Linked DNA regions of Lepisosteus oculatus. The protein of the gene in region 1 purifies or fractionates together with the protein of each later gene. This does not show direct contact. Links are inferred from orthologs where the notes say so. Each region holds a gene or a part of one and is shown in the gene's direction. Other genes may lie near its edges. The genes, in order: bag2, sgta, hsf2 and dnajb4.

Evidence for each region.
Region 2: the proteins of bag2 (region 1) and sgta purify together in Homo sapiens (affinity purification with mass spectrometry; 3 studies listed by BioGRID and IntAct, with this or other methods). This does not show direct contact. The link is inferred for Lepisosteus oculatus from reciprocal best matches to the Homo sapiens genes BAG2 and SGTA.
Region 3: the proteins of bag2 (region 1) and hsf2 purify together in Homo sapiens (affinity purification with mass spectrometry; 4 studies listed by BioGRID and IntAct, with this or other methods). This does not show direct contact. The link is inferred for Lepisosteus oculatus from reciprocal best matches to the Homo sapiens genes BAG2 and HSF2.
Region 4: the proteins of bag2 (region 1) and dnajb4 purify together in Homo sapiens (affinity purification with mass spectrometry; 4 studies listed by BioGRID and IntAct, with this or other methods). This does not show direct contact. The link is inferred for Lepisosteus oculatus from reciprocal best matches to the Homo sapiens genes BAG2 and DNAJB4.

What each region holds. Positions count from the first base shown.
Region 1 is NC_090712.1:19,975,823-19,982,648, forward strand, and holds the start of bag2 (BAG family molecular chaperone regulator 2), read left to right. Parts: upstream 1-3,812; 5' UTR 3,813-4,268; coding exon 4,269-4,393; intron 4,394-5,379; coding exon 5,380-5,489; intron 5,490-6,300; coding exon 6,301-6,695; 3' UTR 6,696-6,826. Other genes in the region: E3 SUMO-protein ligase ZNF451, read left to right, coding at 2,217-2,257. UniProt on the Homo sapiens protein: Co-chaperone for HSP70 and HSC70 chaperone proteins. Acts as a nucleotide-exchange factor (NEF) promoting the release of ADP from the HSP70 and HSC70 proteins thereby triggering client/substrate protein release.
Region 2 is NC_090724.1:1,363,258-1,370,315, reverse strand, and holds the start of sgta (small glutamine-rich tetratricopeptide repeat-containing protein alpha), read left to right. Parts: upstream 1-4,049; 5' UTR 4,050-4,134; intron 4,135-4,158; exon of another isoform or gene 4,159-4,338; intron 4,339-4,398; exon of another isoform or gene 4,399-4,552; intron 4,553-6,146; 5' UTR 6,147-6,196; coding exon 6,197-6,296; intron 6,297-7,058. Other genes in the region: thop1 (thimet oligopeptidase), read right to left, coding at 1,127-1,333, 3,471-3,483. UniProt on the Homo sapiens protein: Co-chaperone that binds misfolded and hydrophobic patches-containing client proteins in the cytosol. Mediates their targeting to the endoplasmic reticulum but also regulates their sorting to the proteasome when targeting fails.
Region 3 is NC_090697.1:1,720,936-1,727,908, forward strand, and holds the start of hsf2 (heat shock factor protein 2), read left to right. Parts: upstream 1-3,964; 5' UTR 3,965-4,075; coding exon 4,076-4,210; intron 4,211-4,672; coding exon 4,673-4,781; intron 4,782-6,229; coding exon 6,230-6,357; intron 6,358-6,841; coding exon 6,842-6,966; intron 6,967-6,973. UniProt on the Homo sapiens protein: DNA-binding protein that specifically binds heat shock promoter elements (HSE) and activates transcription. In higher eukaryotes, HSF is unable to bind to the HSE unless the cells are heat shocked.
Region 4 is NC_090704.1:3,705,847-3,713,145, reverse strand, and holds the start of dnajb4 (dnaJ homolog subfamily B member 4), read left to right. Parts: upstream 1-4,281; 5' UTR 4,282-4,540; coding exon 4,541-4,751; intron 4,752-7,299. Other genes in the region: slc25a24l (solute carrier family 25 member 24, like), read right to left, coding at 123-281, 871-982, 1,441-1,528, 1,974-2,100, 2,203-2,326, 2,451-2,476. UniProt on the Homo sapiens protein: Probable chaperone. Stimulates ATP hydrolysis and the folding of unfolded proteins mediated by HSPA1A/B (in vitro).

The sequences.
Region 1 (6,826 bases):
GCTAGGTCATTCTTAGATCAATTATTAACAAAGACAAGAATTGATTTAACATCAAAACAAGGAGTTGTTTAATAGTTTTTAAGACTTCAGAATGAAAATGTGAGAGTCTTCTAAGAGTAGAGATAAATTTGCAAGTCAATTTCCTAAATTGATCAATAGCTCCAGGGCTGTGACTTTTCTGGAACAGAGTTGGCCAACCCTGATACAAACTAAAAATGCAGACAGCATTTGTTTTTGCTATACAGTTTACCCGTTTTATTGTTGTTAATTATATACTTAAATAAGTACAAACTAGCATTATGAGTCCGTAAATGCTTGTATTGAAAGTGGGTTCCAGTGATGATGTGCTGTTTTTAACTGAGTGTTCCCACAGCAAACCTCTAGTACAGAACTGAGAAATAGACACCAGAAACAATGTCCTCTTGCATGTGGTTGACTGAAACAACAGGGTTCTGTGTGTGTGCTGAGGAGAATGATCTGCCATTGTCACCTTTGCACCGAAGAGGCAGATTAATATGAGATATTCTTATTTGGGGGGTTTACCCAATTTAATTTGATTTTCCACCTGTTTCTTTGTCCCCCAGCTGTGCATTTGGATCAGACTTGAAAGCCATCCTTACACTGAATGTATAGATACTTGGAATGCAGAGCAGGGCTAAAATTAGCTCTTGTCTGTATCATCTCTGCCATCCAGCAGGCTTTGTAAAGTTAGGGATCCCTGTGACAGTTAAAGGGACAGCAGGCTGCTCTTGCAGGGCGCAGAGCTGTTGGGGTGTCCGCTGTGTAAGTGTGTTCGAGGTAGTGAGTGCTGGAGGGCTGGGTGTGATACAGGGTACTAGGGAGAGAGTAGGGGCTGTCTGGACAGCAGGCTCTCGGTGCCCTGAAGAGACTTGGGGTGGGAGAGACGGAGTTCTGAGCGCTGCAGGCTCTGTGTGCGAGACCCAGCCTGGTTGAAGAGCAAGCGAGCTGTAGGCCCCAAGCTCGTGTGTCACCAGGGTCACTGTGAACGAGGGGCTCGGTGACGTCAGGCCGTGGTTGTGGTGGAGTCTGTCGGCCAGTGTGAGCAGCGCTCTCGGAGGACAGTGCGTGTATACGTGTGGAAGAGGTTCCCCAGCAAGCTCAAAGAGGCGTGTCTGGAGCATGGGACACACCAGTCCAAGCTCAAGTGGTGGCCCCTACCCCTGCGGTGTCACACCATGAAGATCTAACTGCATTTTAGGTGTAAAACATACAAGACTAGAACCACTAGGGGGGTTAACACACACTTTTTAACAAACCTGAAAGAGACACCAGGACCAGAATCAGACACCTGCCTGAGACCATTACAAACCTGACACTCAGCTGACTTTAAAAAATAATTTTCATCATCATGTCGGTAATGCTTTTTTTGTTTACAGTGAGTAATAGATTTTAGGCTTTTGCTTTTTTTTCCACCTGTTTGTTGATATGAGTTTATTTGAGTTAAGGGATTTTCCTGTCTTCAGTTTTGAGGTTAAAATGGTTGTTTTCCCCTGTACTCTGTGTAATGGTCACAAAAGCAAGAACATTGAGACCAAACGATTTCTTTCTATTAAAGCATTGTTTTTGTATTTTGTTCTAAAATAAATAAGTAAAACACAATGTATAAATGTTAATTGTTTTATGTTTGTTTTATTCTATATTCATTCTATTATTTTAAAAAAACATAAATTACACCTGGATTTGGACATGATTTTTGCTTGAAAATCGGAATCTCTGATTAGAATCCATCAGAACAGGGTGAAGCCAAGCTGCAGTGTGTCAGCATACTAGCATTTCTGTATTTGTGGCAGAATATGGTAGTAAGGTGGTTCCTGATCTGTTCTGACTGGTGGATTTACATTCTCAGTGCAGACACTGTTGTAGCAAGCAGATTGCTGCAGCCCACCCAGCTGTAGAAAGCGTGGAGTCTCATCCAGGGAGACTCTTGAACTCAGCCAAAACGAGCTTCAGTACTTAGGAATGTAAAATGAAAGATCAGTTTCAATAGATATTGCAAGCTTTGTTTTCCCAAGTTGTACAGTATAGTAGTGACCATATTAGCCACTTGACATCTGACTTTGATTTGAAAAAAAGAAATGCACATTCAGTTTACTTGCTCTGTTTCAGTTGTTGCTCACAGGTTTGCCGAGTCCATTATGATTTTCAAGTGTATTATGCTCTATTGCTAAATTCATTTTTATCCCTTATCTCTGCAGAGCTCGAAGAAGCTATCACTAGAAGCCTTCAGGAGTTCTGATCCAAAGATGACTTTTAAGTGATCTTTTTTTTTCCCCCATGAACCTGAATAATGTTTAAACTGGTAATACTGGTTCCTGTTTAAAAAAAAAAAGCAAAGCAATGTGTGTTTATTATTATTTGATGACTCTTAAGTTGGAATGTTAATAATTAAAGTCAGCATTATTCAATAAAAATACAAATCTATTATTAAGGTTAAGCATGTTTTATTATTGAGCAAATATTTTATTTTTTCCAGGTATAAAGCGTATAAATGTGTAAATTTAGATGAAGATCGATTTCCTGAAGATGGTTTTCCCGCTATTTTTAGTTTTTCTTAGTTAAGAAGAATCAATTTGATTTTTAAAAATAAAAGCACATAGAGCCCGCCTCATGTCTGTGCAGTGGTGGTGGTAAAGACTGCACACTTCCTCGAAGTGCACAGTGGGAAGACGCTCCGCTCTCCTCACACTTGGAGTCTGAAAATGCCTACAGGAGGGCTGGTATCATGCCTGACAGCTCCCTGCCAGCCCGCTGTTCCACTGTGGGCAGAGGATGCCTTAGCTGCCTGCACACTCACCCAGTTTAGCCCTGAACCAGTTGTGTGCCACTGTCTGGGGAAACTGGCTCACAATCGTCAGACATCGCTTGGACTGCAACCCGCAGTGTCTGAACTGACAGACTCCACCTGTGCTGGTGCACCTGTACGGTTTGGGCCTCTCAGGAGTGGGAGCAGTGATTAAATACAAATACTCTTCCTCTGGGTGTAGGACTTTTAACAGCACAGGACATTTTTCAAAAGGTAGCCTTTAACTCTGTTTGCTTAATACATTAATTTTTAATACTTTACACACCTGCAGGCAAAAAAAACCCCAAATCTTTTCTGTAAAATGAATAATGACAGATCGTATTCAGAAGATGACGGGGGAATAAAATCTTATCCTTGTCATTCTTCATTGAGGTTGTATTGGCGCTATAACATGAACAGGCTGTTTTTAATTCATATATTTAGGTCTGTGAGCAGTATGTCCTGTTTTTTTTTATATAATGCAGGTTGGGAATGTGTGGAAGCAAGCATGCTAATTCCAGATAAAGTACTGCGGGTTCATTAATAGCCTGTGTGCACTTTGTGCATAAAGGAACCAAGTGCAAGTTAAACAGGTTCAGAGACGTGTTCTGCTTCTGCCGTCATCTCTATATGCGTACATATATTAGTAGAGTGCAGTGCCCGATGAAATCTGAAAGAAACGAAGGTGAAGCTGGAAGAAATATAAAAAATCTAGTTTTTCTCCCTACTGTATGTTGGCATGCTGTAGTGTGATTTAACGGCACAGAATGAGGTACGACAAAGCGCAGAAAATGTGAACATTAAAGCCATTACATGAGTGATGTATTACATTAAAGTGTAACATGAGGAAATTGGTTATGTTAAAATCACCATGTAATTGTCATGAAAAATATAACGGGTTTCTCCTGTCTATTTAGCCTGTGGTCTGACGGGGGCGCTATAGTATCATACTGGGCTAGCCTGTGAGCACCGATACCGCAGGAGGTTAATGTCAGTGTCGTTCCGCTTTAATATGTATGCCTGTTTTTCAAAGGCGGCCGTTCCATAAATGGTCAAAATAGGATATTTCCAATTCATAGAGAGTCATGGTCGTTCGTCTGCGCTTGATTGAAATGATCCACGACAAGACACACGGGCAACTTGGCTACAATGTACCGAGGCTACAAAGGGCGCAGTCTGTGATACCCCGTGGAAAACTGGGGCTGTGCAGGGTTGAGACCGGCTGAGATGTCGGGGTCAGTGGATTGTGCTGGAGCCCCCCGCCCTGCGCCGAGCGCTCGGCCTGCTCCCCGGGAGAGGGCGGCGGGGAAGGTCCGGCCCATGTTTGGAAATGTTGACATACGGGCGCCGCCTGCGAGCGGCGAGCTGCAAGCGAAACTGCTAGAAGGTGCCCCTAGAGGGAAGATCGGAGAGCAGTGGGTTAAGGAGCTGCGACTCTCCCGGGGAATCGGCATTTCCAGGCACCATGGCTCAAGCTAAGATCCTCGCCAAAATGAATGAAAGTGAGAGGAACAGCAAGTTCAGCAGATCCTTGTCCATGGCGGATCGATCGGGACAACTGCTTGAGAGCCTGGATCAGCTAGAGCTCAGGTAATGTTTGGGGTGGGAGAGGTTTTAGAAAACTTTAAACATTTTTAAAAGTTTTAAATGAAAAGAACAGCGGCCGAAGTTCGCTCGTCTTGACTGGATTGTATTTCAGTTTTTTTTAGAGCCGCTTTCTTGTGTTCGTGGGCTCTGGCACCTTGTTTCCAAGACCGCATTCTTGTCCTGTCGCTTAGTCTCGTCTTCAGAGATACATTGTATCTGAAAACAACGGCACACTTTGTTGTTTTGAAGCTCGTTTGCAAATATTTCAATTTTTGTATTGTATGAAAAACAGGTGGACAAGGGGGGGTCGACTCCCACGTGCCGTCTTGGGAAATTAAAAATAGCCCCTTTTGGGGATTCTCGGGGCTGCTGCGCTTCAGCGCAATCCACTTCACACTTTCATACGAAAACCTGCTGTTCGTCAACACTGCCTTGTGATTTTACTGCTCGGAACATTTAACTTATTGGCTGTTTAAATCCTAGACCTGTCCGTTTCTTCCAAACAGCTGCAGTTCAACACGTACCGTACAGTAGGTTCACATTCCTCACATGAGTGTCATTTTACAAGGAGATTACAGAACCGCAGGATGTATTTCTTTGGAAATGTAGTTCACGTGTTTTCTGATTTTTGTCCAGAACATTTTGAGGCAGAGATAATTGTCCTGGATCTAGCTGTACACTACGTATAAATATTTTTACACCACTTGGCAGTTGATATATTTGTACATAATGATCCTACTTTACTTAAATTTGAAACAAATTCTTAACTGCAACAAGAATATAACCATCTGGTTTCCTCAGGCATATCCAATATTCACAACCTAAGTTTGTTCTGTAATATAATAGCATTGTTTAAATAGGCCGATCTCAAATGGAAAAAATGCAAACCCATTGGTGTAGTTTTTCAGCATTAAATGTAAAATGTGTTACTAAGGCCAGTCGATTCTTTCATGAAGTAAAACAGACTAAACATTGTTGTCTTCTGTCAGAGTGGAAGCTTTACGAGAGGCAGCGACTGCGATGGAGCAGGAGAAGGAAAGTTTGCTGGAAATGATTCAGTCTGTGAAGAACAGCCAGGAGATGCGAACCATCAGTGATGGTGAGTGAGAGGAGTGTCACACTGTAGGTCACGGACAGCTGTCACACAGGTGAAGACTGACAAGGTCTGTGAAAACCGTGGATCTTATTTCCTGCGCCCTTTCCATGTGCAGCATACATAGTCTGGAGCAGGGTTTCTTTAACCTCGTTTGGCTACAAGACATCCTGCTCAAGCAGTCTCTCAGATGCCCCAATTTAGATATAACATCAAGCCGAAGTCTGTGATTAGTTTTCAAAGAAATCTACTATTTGTTAAAATATTGCAGGCAGATCTACATGTCAACAGATCCACTGTGCTATCAGAGCAGATCCACTTTTTTAAGAACATCGATTTTTCATGTACTGTAGATACATATATATATTCTCTTTGATTGTGGGGTCCTCTTAGACCCTAGTTAAACCCATCCATTGCAGTCTGGTAAAATCCGATGATCAAAAATGTTCATTTGAACCGACAGCAGTGCAATAGGGTGCGAGATAAAGGAACTGTCTTTGTAGCTTCCAGATTTAATAATTCCCCTGTTTAAATAGGAACAAAGAATATCACACACTGAATAGACAGTTTCCTGCTGAAAAAAGTAAAGAAAAGTCATTTTTAGTGATATTTGTAACAAGATACAATCAACAATTATTTCTTATGATGTTTGTTGTTCCGTTTTCAACAGAGGAATGAATAAATCAGGAGGGCACAGTTTTAGTGAATTCAGCCTAGAATCAGTCAATCAGTGAAGCTGTCCATTGTGTACCTCGGATCTTGTTTGTGCTGCACACACCGTGTCTTCATTCTAGAGACCCCTTTTTCCCATTTTCAGGGGAACGGGAGGAGCTGACGTTGACCGCAGACCGCCTGCTTGGTCGAACCCTGACTGTCGAGGTTTCCGTGGAAACCATCCGTAACCCCCAGCAGCAGGAAGCTCTGAGGAAGGCGACGTCTGAGATTGATGAGATCGCCTCCAAAGTTCTGGATGACTTGGACGGTGCCAGAAAGCGCCTGATGTCTCTGCATGCAGCCTGTATCACTGAGGCACCCCTGGGTCCTGTGGATCAGAAGTTCCAGACCATAGTCATCAGCTGTGCCTTGGAGGACCAGAAGAAAATCAAGAGAAGGCTGGAGACTCTGATCCGAAATGTGGACAACACAGGAAAAACCATAAGGATTATGGATCAGCAGAAAGTCGACCTTCCAAAAACCTCAAATGGCAACTAAACCTGCCTGTGCTATTGTTACTGTAGAGCTAACATAACGACTATTATACACTCACTAATCTATAAGAGTTTAACATAACACTCTCCTGAAGAATTAAGATTTCATAGCATGATGGCATCATATACATTCCA
Region 2 (7,058 bases), on another chromosome or scaffold:
CAATCCTTAGGACACCACCTTCAGGCTAATTGGACAAATAAAGACTTCATGCATAATAAACCACAAAGGAACAAGTAAAGGTTTATTTGAAAAGAGAAGATAGGAAACACGTTTTGGCTGTGGAGTGTTTCGTTTCCTGTCTTCTCTTTTCAGCAGGAATAACCTAACAAAAAAGGGGAATGTCAGCACTCGGACAAAGGAGATTCTCCCCCCCCCCCCCCAACAACAGATTTACGCCAGGCCTCCAAACAATCAAAACCTCAGAAAAAAATGTATATACTTCCCAGTTCCTTTAACAATACCTATATACAATTTGTTGTCAAACACAGGCAAAGTGTCAGCTACTCTTTATGTAGAAAATGCTGAGCACTCTATACCATTGCCTGCTGCATTCCTGCCAGCTCAGGCCTTTAACAAAGGCTCTGTAGTGGCCTGTGTGTTAAGTGATGTTGCTGTGGGCTTATCTGGACTTATCTGCTTATGCAAACGAGCGTTTTTATTTTAGTCAAGTAAAGTCGCTAAAGAAATCTGCAAACAGATTTTAGAAATCTGATGCCATTTATCCCTTTTACTGACATTTATGACTTCAGTGCTTGTAATTACTGCATGTCATGACAGCATACATTTAATACACTTTAAAACAGTCATGGGCAGGAAACTAACCTACTTCAGCAAGACGTAGTTGGTTTTTCTCAGCACTTGTAAGAGTGAAGGTATTTTTAAGGAATTTTATACCAAATGGCATGAGATTTGTTTACTCCTTTTAGGTTGTTCAGATCCTAGGTCATCATCTGTTCCTTCTGTTTAGATTCACGTGAGGAACCTTCAAGAGTTAACAACACCAGCTTACAATTCCCTTTCCAAATCCCTTATCCGGATATCCTGGTATCTGGACCTGGAGTGAGCACACAGCTTTAGAGACACACGGATTTTCATTTTTAAAGACCAATTAGTGGCCTAACTGAATCCGTTATTGGCTCAGGGAGGCATGATTCCAACTGTTTCTCGAAACCGGCCGAAGCGTGGCTCTCCAGGACCGAAGAGGTGAGCTCACGTTCTGATCGGAAAACCAGCCCACGTGTCCGTGTGCCGCCACGAGCGGAAACGCAGCAGGACGCGTCCTTACCTGTGTACTCCACCTCCACGTCGGCCAGCGCTTTCAGGGCGTTGTCGTAGGTGACGGCCTCCAGCTCCAGAGCCCCCACGGCGTCGTACACGCGCTTGGTCCTCTCGATCAGCTCGTCGGCCAGCTGCCGGATCTGCTCGGGGCTCAGGTCCCAGCGCAGGCGGTTCTCGGCGCAGACCCGCGGGGCGCTGGCGATCACGACCTCACCTGCCGAGGGGGCGGGGGATGGGTCAGGCCCTGCACCGCGCTGGCTAACGCCGGGTCAGGACAACGTCAGGGCAGCAGGACGCTTGCGGACAGGGGCACTGGGGGGGGTTACAGTGTTTCCCCTTCTTGCCTACCAGCTGTGACAAAACAATTCGCTCCGGCTAGGCGGAGCAGAGCAGTGTACCGGCGTGGTCCTCGCTTCAAGAAGTATTTCAGACTCCTGACTGTCATGGTTGTTTCTTGGGCTCGGATACGTCCGAACATGTGCTCGATGATAAACTCTTGCTCCCCCACTCTTCTGCAGCCAAATAGACAGTGCACCAGTAATCATCCCGTGTCTTTTGATAACCTGCTGATGTGTTTTATTTGTACAGTAAAATGCTGAAACCTGCACAACTGTACCTTTGTCTGATGGACTCCGGGTTTATTATGGGGGCATGGTGTGTCACCTTTGATATGACCTTTGACCTGTTCCAACAGAACAGTTACAAACTCCAACTGCAGCTGCTTAGAATGATGAGTACTGTTCACAGCACTAGCGTGTGTGTGGCTACTGCAGGGCAAGAAAACCACTTCTGGATGGGCTAAATGGGCAAAGGCTGTGGCCCCCAATGACAAAAATCGCACGAGACAAAATTTAAAAGCACACAACACAACTCCTTTTTATGCAGAAAAAAATATTAAAACTTTCAGGAAATTCTGGAAAACAAAACAATTAAAGCTGTGGCACTGAAATTGTACAGGGTGACATGCAGTGGCTCATGTCTGCGATGTGCTCCTGATCCATGATGCTTACCAGAAATGAAGAAGTGTGACGTGGGTAATGTAGCCAATCAATCCTCACCAAACCAAACAGCCCTGAAGTTGTGTGAGATGCTGAAGTCTACAGGTTGGCTAACAACCCGTCATCTCTTTTGTGAGACAACGTTAAAACACGATTGCTAAATGTTTTGTTCACAAGCTCAGGCTACTGGAGAACCATATTTAACCATCAACAGTAGCTTAAATTAAACTTTTCTTAGTGCCAGGAGAGGTTTACAGAGGGCACTCCAAAAGCCCAATGATAACCACCCACAGCACATGTCCCTTTGTGTGACCGGAGAGGAATATGCTGACTGACTGACACCCAGAGAAATTCCTTTCAAAACAAAGAACATGCCTGAACTCTCTTAGAGGGACATTATACAGGTGGTGTTTTTAACTGTTCAAAATAACACTTATTAATTATTATCTGTTTTTGCAATTATGGAAAATGTTTAATAGTTTCAAACACTACATAAGCAAACGGAGTTTCAGATCTACTGAATGTCAGTTTTTCGAGTAACTCCTTTCTGGATATAATTTTGTTATACTGTACTGTAGTGCAGGTGGCTACAGAAAAAGACGTGACTGATGCAATTGAATATATGGGTCCCTTTTTTGCAAGACAATCTGTGTAGAGCTTCTTCGTAGCTTAGGTTAGGAGTGTCACCTAAATCACCACTCTTAAATCACGTCCACCTGACACTGACAGATACACTGACACAGTGACATCCGCGAAAAGATTACTCGAGCCGACGATTAGGGGGGCAAGCGAGTTTCATCCACGACCACGGACTGAAGTTTTGGGAAATTCTTCTTTCAAAACAAATCCACCTCGAAAAGAAGGAAATCTACCAACTACTCGAACCTATAGCTTGCCTCCTCAAGTTGACTCCCGTGTTACTCCTGTAATCAAATACCTAAACGCGATTCCCACTTATCTGCTCGGGAGAGCGGGGAGCTGGGACTGCCCGCAGTGAAACTCGTGTAAACAGACTGTGTCTGGGAGGGGTGCCCTCAAGTTCACGACTGCACTTTGCGAGAGCAAATGATTGAGCACGTTATCCCAGCTAGACACACGCCGCCTTTGCCGGACTTTTCAGTGGAAAATATTGAAGTTATTTGAAGAAAAACTGCACTCCATAAAAAAAAATACATTTTAACGTTTTAATTACGTAACCCCCCGTAAAGTAACATAGTACGGTCCGATTTCTGAGCAGCACCCAGTATACAAAAAGCAATTCATCTTGCAAATGAGAGGAGCTCATCAAAGAAATTTAAACTGTGGGTACTTATGGGGACGTAGGTTGACAAAAAAAAAGGTTTAATAACTCACCTGTCGGGGCCATAGTACACAAGGATGAAGTAAATTCGCCCTGCAAATACTCTGCTGAAGAGCTCCGGGTCAGAATGGTGTCTGCTCACACTGAACCACGCTACTACCGGGCTGAGCAGCAGAAACTCGGTGGTTGGCTGGCCATCCTGTCAATCACTCGTTCCCCTGGAAACCGGCGGTCGCTTCCGCTTCGGGGGGCGTTGTTTTATTAACGGTACTTCCGTCCCAGACTCCTGACTGTCCCGTCTGTTGAATTAATTTCACAACAGTGCGGCGGGTCGCCCTGAGCCTCGGTTGCAGGTTACGGCAAACAAAAATAACAGCACACGTCAGCGGCGACTCTGAATGGTCGACCCCGATGGCCTCTGTTTCGCGATTCCACGGCAAAGGCACTTTAACTGTTGTGGGACAAGGTGAAAAAAAATACCCAGCGAAATCAATAAAGAAACTAAAACATAATTAAAAACTAGCAATTATTTAATACAGTCACACACCCGCGCCACATGCTTTCTGTTTTTTGTTTTGCCGAAAACATCTATTTGTTCGAATATAATCGTTCTGGGGGGGGGGGGGGTGTAGGCACGTCCGACGCGTGACGTCAGAGGACGCAGACGGCCGTCACGCAGCGCAGCGCGAGGAAACTGCGGAGAGCCGGAACCGGGAGGTGAGACCCAACTTTTCTTGCTGCCGTTTTCATTAAAACCCGCACGGTAAACGCCGTTGCCCCGAGCGGGGCAGCCCCCCCCTCCCTCCGGCAGACAGCGATCGCAGGGGCTCTGGGGGCACCTTGCAGAAAGGGGGTTGGTAGCGGCGGCGTCATCAGCGAAGCGGCCAGTTTTGCTGTACGCTGCGTTGTCCCAGATTTACGGTAAGGCCGCACGGAGGAGCGGCGGCAGTGCTGGAATCTTCTGTTTGACAAAACTCACAGCCGGCCGAGGTTTGGTCAGACAGGTGGGAAGGACGGCGTCTCTGGTTCGGCTAGATCATCAGACCGCCCGGTCGGATTCACTCGGCACAAGCGCGTAGTCTCCTCTGATCGCTCGCTCGGCGCCGGGCAGAACTCTTTCATCGATTAAAAAAAAGTACGGATTTAAAGAACTGGGCAGACTGACAACTGCGGTCGCCGGGGACTTGTTGAGAATTTGTCTGTTCTGTAGTTTTACGAGACAGTTTTCGTACAGCAGTAGTCTCATATGATGCACAGGTTCGGGGACACAGATCTGCAGAATTGGGAGTCAAGAGCGGCCTTACTGAGTGTACTCAGTGTAGGTTTGGGTCAGTATTCAGTGTTTGAAGTTGCTTCACAGGGTGCGGTTACGATTAATCAATAGTAAAGTTAATTATGCCATTTTCAAGTGCAGTGTATTATAATCCAGCCACAGGCTGTCTGTGTGTACTAGGTACGTGAAAGCTTGGGACGACCTATTAGATCAGCTCAGCGCGTACACGTTCACCTACCGTGACATAACACGTGAGTCACCTTTTTCCGGAACATGCCAGATCCGAAAAGCAAAAGTAGGTTGCTGGTATGAAGGTCCCCAAATAAAACACGTTACTTCGTGTATTGCTACGTCCAGTGCAAGCTATTGATAAAAAGAAATTCATTTTCGCCAGCAGTGTGAATAGTCTGCCATTTTATTTCATACGCATATTAGGAGGATTTACATAAGGAATGTTAGTGCGAGCTGCCGTGCTTTGCTGCTGACGATCCACAGCTGCTCCGTCGTGGTCTTCATTTCTAGACGCGAGAGCAGGCCTGTTCTTGAAGGGTGGGGGGGTCACTCTGAGCCACAGTTCTGGTCTCCTGAACCTGGCCCGGGCTGGTTTGCTCCTTGTTTACTCATGCTCCCATTCATCTGCGAGGAACTGTGCTGTTTCTGGAGGAGTTAATTGGATAATATCAACTCCAGAATAAGCGGTCGCGCACAAAATGTGCATAGCACGGTATGCGTCAATAGACAAAAAAAAATTGTAATGCAAATGATAAAGTTGGTGTGTGGTAACGCCAAGTCAATGCCCTGTTTATTTTAAAGGCTCTTTGTTTTTGTACAATTTGCAGCACGGCTGGCTTGCACATAGGCACCAAGCATCTGCAGCATACTCCTCCTGCTGGTCGTTATTTTTAACCTGATAACTGATGACCTGTCCCCACTGAATATCACTTTCTACACTGGATCGGGTGCTTTAAGTGAGAGTGGGGAGGCTTCCCATTTAATCAAATAGTGTAATGCAGAAGTTAATGGATTCAGTTTCTCCAGAAGAATGTGGGGTTGTAATACCTTATTGCAAGTTTAGGAATCACCTTAGAGTCCAACAGCAGTAGCTAAATGAAGAGCAGTAGTAATCTTTATATTTAGACTTGCTTCTTTTTGTGTGCGTATTTATCAAATGGTGCCACAACCATAATGACTGAGACACCTGTTAATTGGAAAGAGTGGAGCAGTGGAGTTGATTGAGCTCACAGGGCTATTGGCACATGAAAGACAGATCTGTAAGAGAACTGAGAGAGCAAGACTTCTCCATTTATCACAGGGGTAACCTCCTGAGCTGTGCAGGTGTCCTTGATACAGCTGGGTCAGTTGATGCTCTCTGGGTTATCTGCCTTCCTAAAAACACTCATTGGGGACTTGAAGCCCTATTCTTCTCAAACGTTTAAACATGACCGTTCCTTTCCAGAATCTCCAGAAACCTTACCTACTGCCCCAGCCTACCCCCTCAGCTACCAAATGGCAGACACAAAGCGTATCGCATTCTCCATCATTCAGTTTCTCCATGACCAGCTCAACTCGGGGGACTTATCTTCAGATGCACAGGAAAGCCTGGAAGGTAAGACGACAATTTCATAAACCGGTACTGACATTCAGTTTTCATTTTAGGCTGTAGCAGAATTTTAGTGACCTTTGCTTACAGCAGCACATTCCCAGTGGAAATGGCAATAAGTGCAATAATTACTTTGCAATAAGTAGACATCAATAGCCAGCACTGTTTTCAGCATTACAGGACAGTGCCCTCCTCTGTGCTGAATCTGCTTTCACTGGGAGCCTTTTGCTCCTGGGCTCTTGTGAGTGCTGGTGGAGACGAGGCTGTCACAGACAGGTGTTTTCAGTTCTGGTTACAGTGTGAGAAGGTGCCACTTGGGGGTGGCACATGATTGGCCATGCCAAGAGAAGCTGGGACAGGGTCACACGTGACAGGTGTCATCTCCACTTTGGATTGTAACTCGTCCTGCTGTACAGACTACCCTAGTCCAGGAGAGCCCCGGTCCAGCCAGACTTACAAACTGTCTCTGGCGTTTGGAAACAGTACCTGTAAATTATTAATGACTTAAGCTAGTGATTGCTTCAATTTAAAATACTCTGGCCCTCGGGGCTGGAGGACACTCACATTTCATCCCAAATGATTGTTAAATAATTTGACAAATAGCCTACTTAACTGATTGCCATTTAATTGTTCATACTCTTTTGAAATTGGTGGTTTAAGATTGAGCTGTAAAATGTACTGGTTTGAGGCTCTCCAGGAGCAGGATTGCAATTGATCGCCTGCAATTGAGTTTTACGTAAAATACAGCTGCACTCTTTTTCTGATATA
Region 3 (6,973 bases), on another chromosome or scaffold:
AAACGCCTGTGATTTTTGGTCTCTCTTAAACATTAAATTTAAAGCATTACCACCAACGCAGCATGCTCTTGTCACATCTCAGAAGCTCAGCAAGGCTGAACCTGGCCAGCACTGGACTGAGAAACCTCTTGCTGTTGTTTTGAAGTGTTTGTAAGTGTTGTCTGTGGACCAGTATGTCTCTTCCCTCTGGAGCTGAAATTTCAAACCAGTGACCCAGTATGGAAATCCATCACCTCAACTCAAGTATTCTCTCAAACAATCTGTTTTCTGTACATTCGATATTTAATCTGTTATACTGTGTGTTCTGGCACAGAGAAATATATATATATAATAATAATAATAATTATAATAATTGCTTACACTTATATAGCGCTTTTTTGGACACTCCACTCAAAGCGCTTTACAGGTAATGGGGATCCCCTCCACCACCACCAATGTGCAGCCCCACCTGGATGATGCGACGGCAGCCATAGTGCGCCAGAACGCTCACCACACATCAGCTCTCAGTGGGGAGGAGAGCAGAGTAATGTAGCCAATTCATAGAGGGGGATTATTAGGAGGCCATGATGGGGTAAAGGCCAGGGGGGAAATTTGGCCAGGACACCGGGGTTACACCCCTACTCTTTTCGAGAAGCGCCCTGGGATTTTTAATGACCACAGAGAGTCAGGACCTCGGTTTTACGTCTCATCCGAAGGACGGCGCCTGTTTACAGTATAGTGTCCCCTTCACTGTACTGGAGCATTAGGACCCACATGAGCCGCAGGGTGAGCGCCCCCTACTGACCCCACTAACACCTCTTCCAGCAGCAACCTTAGTTTTTCCCAGGAGGTCTCCCATCCAGGTACTGACCAGGCTCACACCTGCTGAGCTTCAGTGGGCTGCCAGTTGTGAGTTGCAGGGTGATATTTTATTAAAATGCAAATATATACACACTTAGTCCAAACACACACATTACTTTGAATGTTTACTCCCTGCAATTCCAGAAGTAATCTTTTATAGTCAGCTTTATTGGAAGCCAAAAGAAACCTGGAATGTGGTATGCAACATCAGACAGTATGCTACAGTATGTATGTGTCCATTATTGTTGTTGCTCCTCTCAAGTACTCCAACAAAGTACTTAAGGAAGATCTACCTTTTGTAACCCCACGTTGACCACAGTATCTCTTAGGATCCTCTTGCCTTGTTTCTGATTCTTCTTCCACACCCTTACAGGTATCAGGAACAACACTTATGTCCAAGTCAGACTTCAGTTCTTCAGTCTGTTTCCGACAGCAGGTGTTTGAATTGGCTGTGAACGGAAAGTGTGCTGTTGGTACCGATCTCGACAATCCAAACACTGACAACAACAGCTGCAAGCTCACCTGCCTTTGCTCGGTGTTCCTGCTGCGCAGTACTGTATATCCCAGCTGCAGTGCTCCTGAGAATGAAGTCTCCAATAACCACCACTTCTCTTTTTGCATGCTATAGTACTAGCAGGATGTGTAGTTGGTATCAGTACACCAGGGCCTTCTGGTGCAGCTCACAAAGTCCAAAGTGCATTTTGGATTCCCACTGTTAAGATACACATTTCTATATTTGTAGAACACAAAACTATTAAATCCCTTCTGAAAATGCAGTCGTTACTCTAGACAACTATCTTCCATATGAGATTGTATATGTGTTCATTCTACAAGTTAATTTCCTATATTTTATTTTCTAAATATTACTATCTTTTGAAGCTTTCCAGAATTACTTTGGTATCCCATACCACTCATATACTGTAGCCTAGCATTTTCTATTTCCATAAAACCACAGTTAGCATTATACTGCCTCAACTCCAGAGACTGTAAGTCATAGACAATAAGTGACAGAAAATGTCAGCGGAATCGGCCTATGCTGCAGATCATTGTTAAAACACAGTTTCAAAGCAATGCATTACATGGAAATGTTTGTGAGTTATCAATATTTTTCATGTGTACTAAAAAGAGAAAGGTATCTTACATCCATAACACCATATTTTCTAACATTGAGGGTGTTGGGCATGAATACTTCACATCATTAAGGTCCTAAGACCAATGTCGACACAATGCTGTTTAACTTCCCCTGTCATCGTTGCAGGTGACCTGAAGTCCACAAGTTCCACCGGTGTGATATTGGATATAGTGCTGACAGGCATCAGTCATCTCACACTCTTACCTCTGAGACTTTTGCGGGGATTTCAGGTTTTATGGGAAGTGGTTACTATTACACTTACGCTCGACTTGTGAGCCTCTTCATAAATCTGCATCAATGCTTTAGGCTCTTCAGATGGAAAGACACGAAAGTCTGAATAAAACATTTAACTGTCAAACTGAATCACAAAGCCTTGTAGCATCATCTCAGACCCACTTATGCTGTTTTCGGTGAAGTATAAAAATAAAATCAACTTCTCACCAGGAAAAGTCATCATAATTGGGATTGTTTTCTAAACGCTTGGTCTGCACTAGAAACTACGTTTTTCTGTAGTCCCTAAACATGCTACTGCATTACTGCTCGCTTTAGAAACGGTCTAGACATTTTGATGTATTACAAAATAAGTAGTCTACAGTAGTTTTACATTTGAACAGGTAAAGGTTTATTCCATGCTGAAAGAAATAGCAAAGACACATGACGTTTCGGCTGCGGAGCCTTCTTCAGGTGTGATATGCCTTACACATGTGTAATATTTTCATTGCAAGGACAGTATTCATTTAAACACGATTACCTTTCTTAACTTCCATAGCTGTGTAATTGACATTGATGCACCCCACCCGTACTTTAAATCACCACGGTCTGAGGTGTTTGCCAAATTAAAAACAAAACCCCGCTAGCCGGAGTCCGCCTTCACTAGACGCTGAGGTCTGTGTGTGGAAGCAGTCAGTCCCACCAGGGCAGGAGAAACACTACCCGGCTGTCTCGGCAGTGCTGTGACCCACAATGCAGCAGCACTCTGCACACACAGACAGCAGGCTCGCGTGCCTCCGCCTGCGTCATCAACACCACCTGCCTTCTTTATCCAATCAGCAAGCGGCCGCGGGGCAGGCCCCTCCCTCCGACACGTGAGGCTCGCAAACGCGCCGCGCCATTGGCTGTGCTGGCCGGCCGCGCAGAGCGCATTGTTGTTACACGTGAGGAGCCTTACGTAAGGTAGCCGGGGCACCAATCGGCAGCCGCGGTTCGGGCCGGAAGCTGTGCTCGGGGTTTTCTCCCCTCCCCCCTCCGCTGCGGGCCCGGAGTACTCGCTTGAGCCCTGTGCTCGGAAGCAGCGCTGCGCTCCCCTCGTCCGCCCGCACCATGAAGCAGAACTCCAGCGTCCCCGCCTTCCTCACCAAGCTGTGGACCCTGGTCGAGGACCCGGACACGAACGAGTTCATCTGCTGGAGCCAGGTGAGTCCGGGCCCGCGTCCGTCTGGGCAGCCTGACAGAGAGAGAGAGACTGAGCGGGGGAGCAGGGGGCTGGAGGGAGCCCGGTCTAAACTGGTCGCAGTCGAAAAGAAAGAAAAAAACGTAATGAGGCGGCTTCGGTTCGGCCTCGGACCTCTCGCTGTTTCCCGAGGGACGGCCGGCTCTTGTATCCTCCGCGCCGTTTCCAAGGCGACCGCGTTACGTGGCTGTTCTGCGAAGGCCCGCGGCGCCGTGCTCCGAGCAAGCGCTGCCGGCTGCTTTGCCACTCGAGGCGAAGGGCCGAGCTCAATGTGGCAGTTGGCCGGGAGGTCAGATAGGGGGCCCCATGATGAAGGCGCGGGGGCGCTCTGTGGTGCCGGGCCGGAGCGGTACCGGTACCGGTCCCGCTGGCTCGGGGAGGTAGCTCACCCTGCAGCCGCCGGGGGAGGAGCGGGTCTGCGTTCAGGAGGGAAGTGGGTGACGTTTGTTGCCGAGTTGAGCAGCGCTACGTTGGACAGGAATGCAAGCAGGCTGTTCTTGTTCCCTGAGCTGACCTCCGAAGAATTAAAGAGCGGATTTATTTCTGTTCATTTCAGTGCATAGCATGCTGGGAGTGGGGAGGTTTGATGCAACATCTTAAATTTGATTGGAAGTGTTTGGACCATAAATGTACCCTCCACAGCCAGCTTCCTGATGGGGTGTGTGCGCCACACTAGAACACCTACCCTTGCTATTGCCTCAAATTCAGCTTGGAGAAGTCTGTCCTTGCCTCTTGACCCCCCAGTCTCTTGCAGGACTTCGGCGGACGAGAGCATCAAAGGTTTATATGTAAGGAATTACACGGTGGGGGAAAAAAAACACCTGTGTGTTTTGGGGCACTAGCGTAGAGAATGAGGGTCTCCTTTTCTAGAAGCTGCTCGGTGCCATCGGTAATATAGCTGCAGCTGCTCATGCTCTGGGAAAGTGTGTGCGCCTGCATTCTGAATATGGATTAATGTAAACTCGGAGAAATAAAATGCCATGGATACATGATGTCAAATCATGGTAGTTAATACACTTCAAGACATGCATAGGATATTTTCTTATGATGGGCTGATGTAATCTGCAGTTTAGCTGTTCAAGGTGTATTTTGGCATTTGATTTTGAATGAAGTGTAAAAATATTTTTAAGCTCTGTGGGAACTTGATGCATGAAAACTGCTTCCCCACGGCAATGTGATTTTTGTAATCCATCATCTTTCTGACCAGATTTTCGTTAAAGTAAGCATGGACTTTCTTGTTTGTTTTAAAGGAAGGTAACAGCTTTCTTGTGCTGGATGAACAGCGATTTGCCAAAGAGATTCTCCCCAAATTCTTCAAGCATAACAATATGGCAAGTTTCGTCAGGCAGCTCAACATGTGTAAGTACTTTTCACGGTCACAGATGTTTTTCTTACGTTAGGTTGTCAATACTGGAATTAGTTCAGGTGGGGAGCTGTGTCGGCATGCGTGGGCTGCAAAGGAACAAGTAACAGGCTTATTCCCTGCTGAAAAGAAAGAAAACAACGTTTCAGCCGTGGGGCCTTCTTCGGGTGTGGGAGACAGAATTAGACAAGTAAAGTATTCCCTGTGAGTATGTGCACTGTACATGTAAACAAATCATGAGGTCACTCAAGGAACAAGTAATTCCAGGCTGAAAGTAGAAAGGATCAACCCACACTTCTTCAGGTTCGTAGACATTTAGGAGTTAATTCATAATGATTTCTTTGCTGAGATGTAACCCGCTGCTGAAAGCATGATTGTGTACAGTATGTCGTGAAGAAGGCTGAAATGTTCCTCCTTTATTTGTTCCTTTGCAGCAGCACATGCTGACACAGCTCCCCCCTCAAATGCCATTTTACGCTGCTGGCATCTCTGTCAGAGTTGGCCTTTTTGGGGAACGTGCACTGACCGCAACCTGCTCCCTAGGCGTACAAGTTGAGTCCTTTAGTCCGGTTCACAGACACACCTCTGAGTTTCATTGCCAGGGGGGCACATGACTGGACCCCAGCAGGCTCATGGGTTTGACATGACCTGGGTAATTCTCAGCTTGCTCGTGCTCACAATGCCTCTAGGAATTGCCCGGGCACCTGTGAGCCAGCCTGTACCTTAATGCTGGAAGTTGGGGGAGAAAAATGAGTAAAAGCAAAAGGGAATAGGCAAACCAGAAGTGAAAATAGTGTTTTTTTTGTTAAAAGTAAAGAGCAGGGGAACTGAAACCCCTTCAGAGTAGGATGGAAGGAGCAACAAAGTAGCAGATCTGGAGACCTGGCTTCCTCAGTGTTTGTCTCGGAGTGAAAGTCAAGAACCCATGTCCAGTTATGGAAAACCAATACGGACATCATTACTTGAGGCTGTCGAAGAGGGAAAGCATATGGCTGAAGGATATCAAGATGCATGGGGATTGTTGAGTACCCTGTATTATCTGAGGAATTATGTCAAGTCACAGTTCTGGAAAAAGATCTGTTTTAATATTCATCAATTATTTTCAAAACATGTATTATTTAAACTTTTATTTATGTAGTTAATTTTGCTTTAGTTGGGGGTTTTGAATTGAGTGAGTGATTTGAGGGGTATTTTTTTGCACTATCATACATGCATATCATACATATCAAGAGGGTTTTAAAAATTCAAAAATATCTACATGATTTTAATAAAGATTTCTGGAGAGCAATGGGGAAAAAAAAGAGGAAATAAATGTGAACCAGGATTAAAAACATGTTAAATTAGATTCATAGGTCAGAAAATAATCAATTATGTTAAAGAGAGCTAAAATATTGCATTTTATGTCAGTGCAGAGGGCTTTTAAAGAGGACAAACTGTCTTGCAGATGGATTTCGCAAGGTAATGCACATGGACACTGGCATCGTAAAACAAGAACGTGATGGACCAGTTGAATTCCAGCATCCATTCTTCAAACATGGGCAGGATGACCTGCTAGAAAACATCAAAAGAAAGGTAAGAACAAGGGCTTACACTTTGAACTTATTGCCTTAAAATGTGAGAAAATAGCCTCACAAAGCTCAAAACTGCTTTAAGAAAATTGAAATAATGTGCACGATGGGTTTCTAATTTTACACCCTGCCACCTTTAGAATCAAATGGCCTACTTTTGTTTGTAATTAACTTTAGTCTTTGCTAAGTACAAAATCCAATTAAGGTTCTGCTTATGTAGCCCATAGCTCCTGTTTAATTTTAATTATTTTCAGGCAAAACTTCATTTGTCCCCTCTAAGTAATCTAACAGTTTTCTTGTGTTCCTCAGATATGGCCAAATCCACCAGAGGTTTATTTGTGAATGGATACCATTCTAAAAGGTCATTCACAATCCATACCTGCAAATTGAAGCAAATGTATGTAAAGCAGGAAGAGCATTAGAATTGTTGAGTGAACTTCAGTTAACTTAGTTTTATCTTAAAGTTGTGATTTTTTTTCTTTTTGTAGGTTTCGTCAGCCAGGCCTGAGGAAAATAAAATACGTCACGAAGACCTCTCTAAGATCCTGTCCAACGTTCAGAGTGTTCATGGCAAACAAGAAAGTCTTGATTCGAGACTCTCAACACTGAAAAGGTAACAG
Region 4 (7,299 bases), on another chromosome or scaffold:
AAGGCACTGGCCTGTCAACTAATTCAGTACACCCCACGCAACAAGAAAAACACACGGTGCGTCACTGCAGCTCAATGCAGCGCATCTGTGTGCGTGCACTGAAAGGCATCGCACTCAATTACCTGAAGCTGAATTTTTATTCGATCGATTGGCGCAGTGACGGTCCTGGACACCGCGTCTGCTATTCCTCCAGCTAAAATGTACTTCTTCCAGGCTCCAGAGTCTGTCTCCTCCCGTGTGAAGTCCATGGGCAGAGGCCGGCTTTCTCCCACGTCGAACACCTGTTGACACGGCACGAGATTTTACATACGTCAGCCATCGCAGTCCATCTCTATCCTGGAGACTCGGGATCTCTGGCCTGTGGGAGGGGAACAACTGTGGCAGCAGGAGGCACAAAGGGACAGCAGGGTGGGACATGACACAAGAAGACTACTGGACTGCATTCAGAATGCTTATGAAGTTATTTTTGCCTGTGGAGACAAATTGATGAGGAAAAATGGACGAGGTGAACCAATCACATTTGGTGAAGATACAGTGTATACTGAACTAAAAACACATTCCAGTGACAGTACACATGAGATACTAACAAGAGCAGCAGTCCCACAGAGGATGGGTCCTAGGATATAGAGTTCTCTGCATGTCTGTTGTCATACCTCTGGTGAATACCTTCTTTGTTCATGGCAGGATAGAAGCTCGTCCATGGCTGTGTTTGTATGTACTGTATGCCAAACTGAATTGCTCCACAGTGCAGTTTTCACAGTCCACTTGCATATACACTATATACTGTATGTACAGTATAATTAGGCAAAGTAAGACTACACTGACTTCCTTTGCGATTAGGAACAAGGTGCTTCACAATGTAGCCCTTACCATGCTGCGCTTCCAAGAAGAAACAAGCTCTGCAATGTCCTCAGCGGGGTTTAAAATGATGTGCTGCAGAAATTCATTCCAGTCCACTGTCATGGAGTTGTCACAGTCCATCCTATGAGAAACCATGAGAAACCATGAAGGAAATCTCCTCAAGTGTTGCTACTACATGACTACAGGTTGTTGTTTATTAAAAGCGTTTATTCTGTGGCACTATGCACATAAAATATATTGTTTTATTCTGCTATGGCAACTACTGTAACTGTACGTTTAAACTTTATTTATTATATAAACTATATTATATGTCATTAAGGTGTTCGGTTATGTGCTGTAATTGCTGTATTATGTTTACATTTCCATAGACATTGATTATGGCATTACAATAGCATTACAATATTACATAAGCTTTATGAAACATATTTTTCCCCAGGTTTTATGTGCATACAGGAGAATTTTTGTAACACAAAAGACGCCTTTAGCACCAAACATGTGTTCTATGCTTCGTAACTGATGGATCAAAGGCAATAAATCTTTTATAGCAGTCAAATATTAAAAAGTGGCAACAGATCTTACATTTGTATTATTTTCTTTGCATGTTGCTTTGAAATGACCACTCCTAACTCCTTAAACAAATCTATGATATCTTCCTGGTCAATGACCCCTAGTCACAGAGAAGAAATGAATATGAATACAAAACAGTTGAGCAAAAATCTCAAGACAGAAATCTTCCTTTTGCTGTTTGCCCTTGGAACGAACTGTGTCCTTTGGAAAGGGTCTTTTTTTTTTCTAGGACGAAGGGGTAATAAATACCAGATCCCACTGCAGCAGGAAATAACACAACTGTATTGACGGATGGCGAGATACATGATGATTGATATTTAATTAAGTAGCTTGCTGGGATATGCCCTGGCTCTCCAGGAACCCAGAATTGGATGAAGTGGTTAGAAAATGGACAGATGGACGTTTAAAGAGATCTGGACTGCAGTTGTGCCCCTCTGGTTTTGACTAAAGCACCAACAATTTTAACTCCAACCCCCCGCCGGCAAATTACACTTTCTTCACTTTTGCACAACCTGTACAGAATCGTTCAAACGTCACCAACTCACCGCAGTTGTTTTTGTCAAGGACTTGAAAGTTTATTTTCCATTTCTTCTCCCTGTCCATCATGTAGGTCAGGAACTCCTCGTAATCTAAACGCCCGTCGTTATTCAGGTCATAGTCGCCTAGGATAGCCTGGAATGGCACAATTTAAAAAGCGCAGACACGACATGGGATTAACCTTCACACCTGGCAGGAAAATACCGTGTGTCAAGGTCGGCATTCAGCAATTCATACCTGAGCCTTCTCCTCTGCGGCCGAAACTCCGATTTTCTTCATTTCTTTGCGGAGCTCATCTACGGCGATGAAACCATCGCTATTGGCATCTAGTCGAAGGAACAGGCTGCGGAACTGCTGCGTGCTTCGCAAAGGAAATAACAGTTATCATTAGAGATATGTCTCATCATAACACTCGAGATGCTGAGTAGCAAAAGGCGTGCAAATTAAAAATTAAAATTATTGTTCATCGCGCAGGTGTAGCGTACCCTTTGGGTGACGGATGCTGAGTCATCTTCGGAGAGGCTGAATAGCAATTTTTCGTCTTCAGTGCCGCAGCCAGGTCCAGCTCAGTCAACGCGATCCCTGTGAATACCGAGTGCTCTTGCCCCGATCGGACGGCAGGGGGCACTGTGTGGAGAACTGGGGAAGGTCCCGGGCAGCCTGCTGGTGAGTCTCCCAGGTGAGGGCCGGCTACGGAAGCCTGTTAGCGCCATGGAGGAAACAAATGTTTATTGCGTTCAAACGAGACAACATTGCGTTTAGTAGTAGGTCGCAATTGCAAAACATAATATGTTTTTTTTTTAGAACAGCAGAGCTTATGGATGTGAAGAAACGTTGACCTAGTTTAAAACCCTCTTCTTCAGAAAAGCCTTTACTGAACTGGTTCCATTCTTCACCCCTCTGCTTTTCCTAGTACCACCATCCACGGTCTCCTCTCTATATTGTAACTGTGTTGTATCTTGTGTATTCTTCTTATTTATTGTTGTTGTCATCCTGTAAAGCGCTTTGAGAAGCCACCTTAAAAGGCGCTTTATAAAATAAAGTTTACTATTATTATTATTGTTATTATTATTATTATTATTATTAAGATAAAGTTAGGATATGATGTTAGGACGCAACACATAAAATCTATATATCACTCACCCACAAATGTAGAATTTGCGTTTTTTTTTTAAATGTTGGGATGCATGTACCGTAGTAACTGTAAAACTTCATCCATGATTGTTTTTTTAATGAAGTGAAAAATAAAACAAAACTCGCTGTTTCCCGAATGAAACCACACATCCAGGGCCGATGTCAGTGGAGGAGATGAAATGGTCAATCGTGCTGGCCGTGCTGCTGAGTGATGATGTTGAGCCTAGGTTGCTGCTCACGAGAGGAACAGTTACCAGGAATTAAAATACAGATGTCAAGATGGGATCATGACTACCTTTGACACCGTCAGAGAAGCTTAGAGTGCACATTTTCACAGCGTTGAAGAATCTGTTGTGGGCTTGAGTTACCTGTTAGGGGTGCTGTCATTTTAACATATGGATGGGAAAGGTGAGCCCACCAGATACAGGGTTTACACATCCACCTCATGACTGAGTAGGCACTCTTGAGTAACCTAAAGAATGCGTTAAATGATTTTTCCTTTCAGCAGCTCATTGGCGGATTACACAAAGGGTAGATTGATCTTTTGAGATCGGGGACACCTAAGACTGTACCTGTGCAAATATCTTACTTATATCCTCTGTGACTGGACTGTGCTACTGTAGAAAGGCTCCACCTTTAAATCACCTATAGCTAAAGATCCGTGTCATTGGGATCACCTGGGCATATGATGTGTTAAATTATGTCATCGGGGACCATAATCTGAGTGCCTTTCTCTTAATTGAACAGATCCGTTGTTTATTTCATCAAAAACCTCACATGAGTCTCCGGTGTTTCCAGACGTATGGCGGTCCACCGCTCAGACCCTGGAGCTTTTAAGCATGTCGGAGGCTGGACTGGGACTGGGACCAGTACGTTTTGGACTGCAGGGGGAGACCCACACAAACGAGGGGAGATCCTACAAACCCCCATGTTCACTGAGGGCCTTTGTCAACGTTTCTTTCGGCGTTTCGAGTTCAGGTAAACCCGTCAATCAAAACGATGAAATAATCTAACCTTTGCCTAAAGGAGAGAAAAAAAAAACTTCGGATAGCCTACATCAATTTATTTTTTCTCCCTGCGAACGACTTTTCTAAAAAAGTAAGCTTTATATGGGAAATGACGTGCAATGATCAGCACTTACTACTTTCTAGAAAGAGCCACTGGGTTCCGGCGAGTACCAATAGGGGAGAGAGACGCGGCTATTTAAAGGAGCACGCCGAGAGAGAGAGAGAGACGCACCAGCAAACACAAGGGCATAAGTATCGAAGCAATAAGCTGTACAGACACAAACAGGGCTTGGAGGAGAGTGAATATCCCCGATTTCAAGAGCGGCAGCACCCGGCTAGCATCTGCTGTCCACCACCGCTCTCTGCCTGCCAGCGGCTGCTATAAAGCGGGTTTATATCCTTAGGATATCGCGGGCTCCCGGGCTGCGCGGAAAATGGGGAAGGACTACTACAAGATCTTGGGGATCCAGAGGGGGGCATCGGACGAGGACGTCAAGAAGGCGTACCGCAAACAAGCCCTGAAATGGCACCCCGATAAAAACACGGCCGCGAACGCGGAGGAGAAATTCAAGGAAATCGCGGAGGCGTACGAGGTCCTTAGCGACCCCAAGAAGAGAGAGATCTACGACCAGTTTGGCGAAGAAGGTGAGGTTATATATATATAAATATCTCGTATGTGGAGATGTTGCCAACGCAACTCCCTCCCCGTTTCGGTGTGGTTTGTTGTTACCGGATCGTTTTAATTGCATTTCAGGATTAGAAATACTTTCGGAGTTTTTTTGGGGGGGTTTTGTTTCTCCTTTTACATCCAAGCCTGTCCGTTTCCCTTGATTTGAGCCGCACAAGATAAAACGCCGCAGAGCGGAAACATTGATTAAACCGCACTTCGCCAACAGCAGGAGGAAAACCGGCTTTTTTTTCAATTTAATGTGGTTTTGCCGTTTTTCAAGGGGGGAGGCACAACACGGCAATAAAATATCCTGTCAGGAGAACGTCGTAGAATGATCCCGAAGGATCAGAGCGTGTATCCCACCCTGTTTAGCAACAGTAAAAGGACACAACTGGCCGGGGTCCCTGGAATGGGACCCACAGGCTGTTTATTTCGGGGGTGTTATGTTGGAGCTTGCTGGCTGGTGCTGCTGCTGGTGGCCGAGCGGAAAGCTGTAGCGGTTTGCGTAGCTGGATCATACATCTCGCCGCCGCTCTCTCGGATCTGGGGGAAACGCGTCTCGTCTTCTCTGGGAAAGAGGGTAGTTTCCCCCCCTTGTACTGGCGAAGACCATCAATCAGAATAAAGTCCGAGATAGGAGGACAGTAGCTCCCAGATCTCCATCGTCACCCCCCAAAGACTGTTCCCCGCGTACTGGTGTTCCTCTTGTGTCCAGTAATATACAGTATACCCGACTTGCCTTCTTATCGTAGAAGTACTTGAGCGTCTTTACCTCCCAGGGTCAGAAGTGTGTTCTGGGAGTAAAGTAAGTCTTCAGCCACTCCCGGCAGGTGATGAAAGAATTGGTGGCTCACTGCAGCGAGGTTTAATGTTTCTTTATTTTAATGTTTCTTTTGTAGCGTATTGCAGGTTCTTTCTCAGAACTAAAGAACAGTGGAGACGCGATTAACCAAGCACTGGCTTTATTTTACAACCACACCAAAACCAAACACAGGATCTACACAAACATGAGGAGTCTGACGAACACGTACACACATTTAGGGTGGTAATTACCTAACAACACACTCTACTTTTACAGGACTACACAGGGCACTAGAATTACTAGGACATTATTTACACAGGCAGGGTCAGCCGCTGGTCATCGTGCTGACCCTCAGACTCTTCCCGGCTACCACTCCCAGCATGCCCAGCGGTACTACGAGCGCCTAGGGGCGCTTCCTCCTCACCACCAGGCGAGGGCGTTACACTGCCCCCACCTGAAGCGTCTGGCGTCTCGCCGACGTCGAACACCCCCCTCAGGCTGTACTCGTATTCGGCCAACTGCTGCGGAACCCTGCGTGAGCGGCCGCTGCGCCGCGGTGACGGCTGGCGATCCACGGACGCCCCACTATCGGCCGGCTCCGGCCCCGGCTGCTCCTCTGGAGCCTCCCCACACGGCTCCTCCTCCCGGGCCCGGTAGGGGGCCAGGCGGTCTCGGTGCAGGACCACCACTCTCCCCCGTGTTCGCAACCGGACACGGTAGCAGACCTCGCCCACCACCCCGAGTACCTCAGCGGGCCCCTCCCACGACGGCGCCAGCTTAGGACTGAGGCCTTTGCGGCGCCGCGGGTTGTACACCCAAACCGAGTCCCCGGGCTGGAAGGCAGGCCCCCTGCAGCGCAGGTCGTAGTACCGCTTCTGCCGGACCCCCGCCTGTGTCAGGTGGGTCCGTGCAAAGCTGTGCACCCGCTGCATCCGCTGCCGCAGGTCCCACTCGTAGTCCGGTCCAGCCGGCGGTGCCGACCCGTCTCCGGGCGGCAGGCCGAAGACCAGGTCCACCGGTGTTCGCATTTCCCGGCCCAGCATGAGCGAGGCCGGGGTGCACCCGGTGGATTCCTGGACCGCGGTCCGATACGCCCAGAGCGCAAGGGGGAGGTGGCGGTCCCAGTCCCGTTGGTGCCGGGACACCAGGGTGGCCAGCTGGGTGGCGAGCGTCCGATTAAACCGCTCTACCAACCCGTCGCTCTGGGGATGCAGCGGGGTGGTCCGCGTCTTAGTAATCCCCAGGCGCTGGCACACTCTGGCGAAGACCTGGGACTCGAAGTTACGCCCCTGGTCACTGTGTAACTCCTCCGGCACCCCCAGCCTGGCAAACATCCCCTCCAGCAGTGCATCGGCCACCGTGGGGGCACTCTGGTCCGGGAGGGCGTAGGCCTCCGGCCACTTCGTAAAGTAATCCATAGCCACCAAGACGTAGCGGTTCCCGGCCTCGGTGCGCGGAAACGGGCCCAAAACGTCCACTCCCACCCGCTCCATAGGAGCCCCCACCTGGTGTTGTTGGAGGGGGGCCCGAGAGCGCTCGGGGGGACCCTTCTGCGCCACGCACACCGCACACGTTCGGCAGTACCGATCCACGTCCCGGTGGCAAAGACCCCAATAAAAATGGCCTCGGAGACGCTGCAGGGTTTTTTTACCGCCGAAGTGCCCCACACCCGGTTGGCCGTGCACCGCTCGGAGCACCGCCCCGCGGAGCGACCGAGGCAC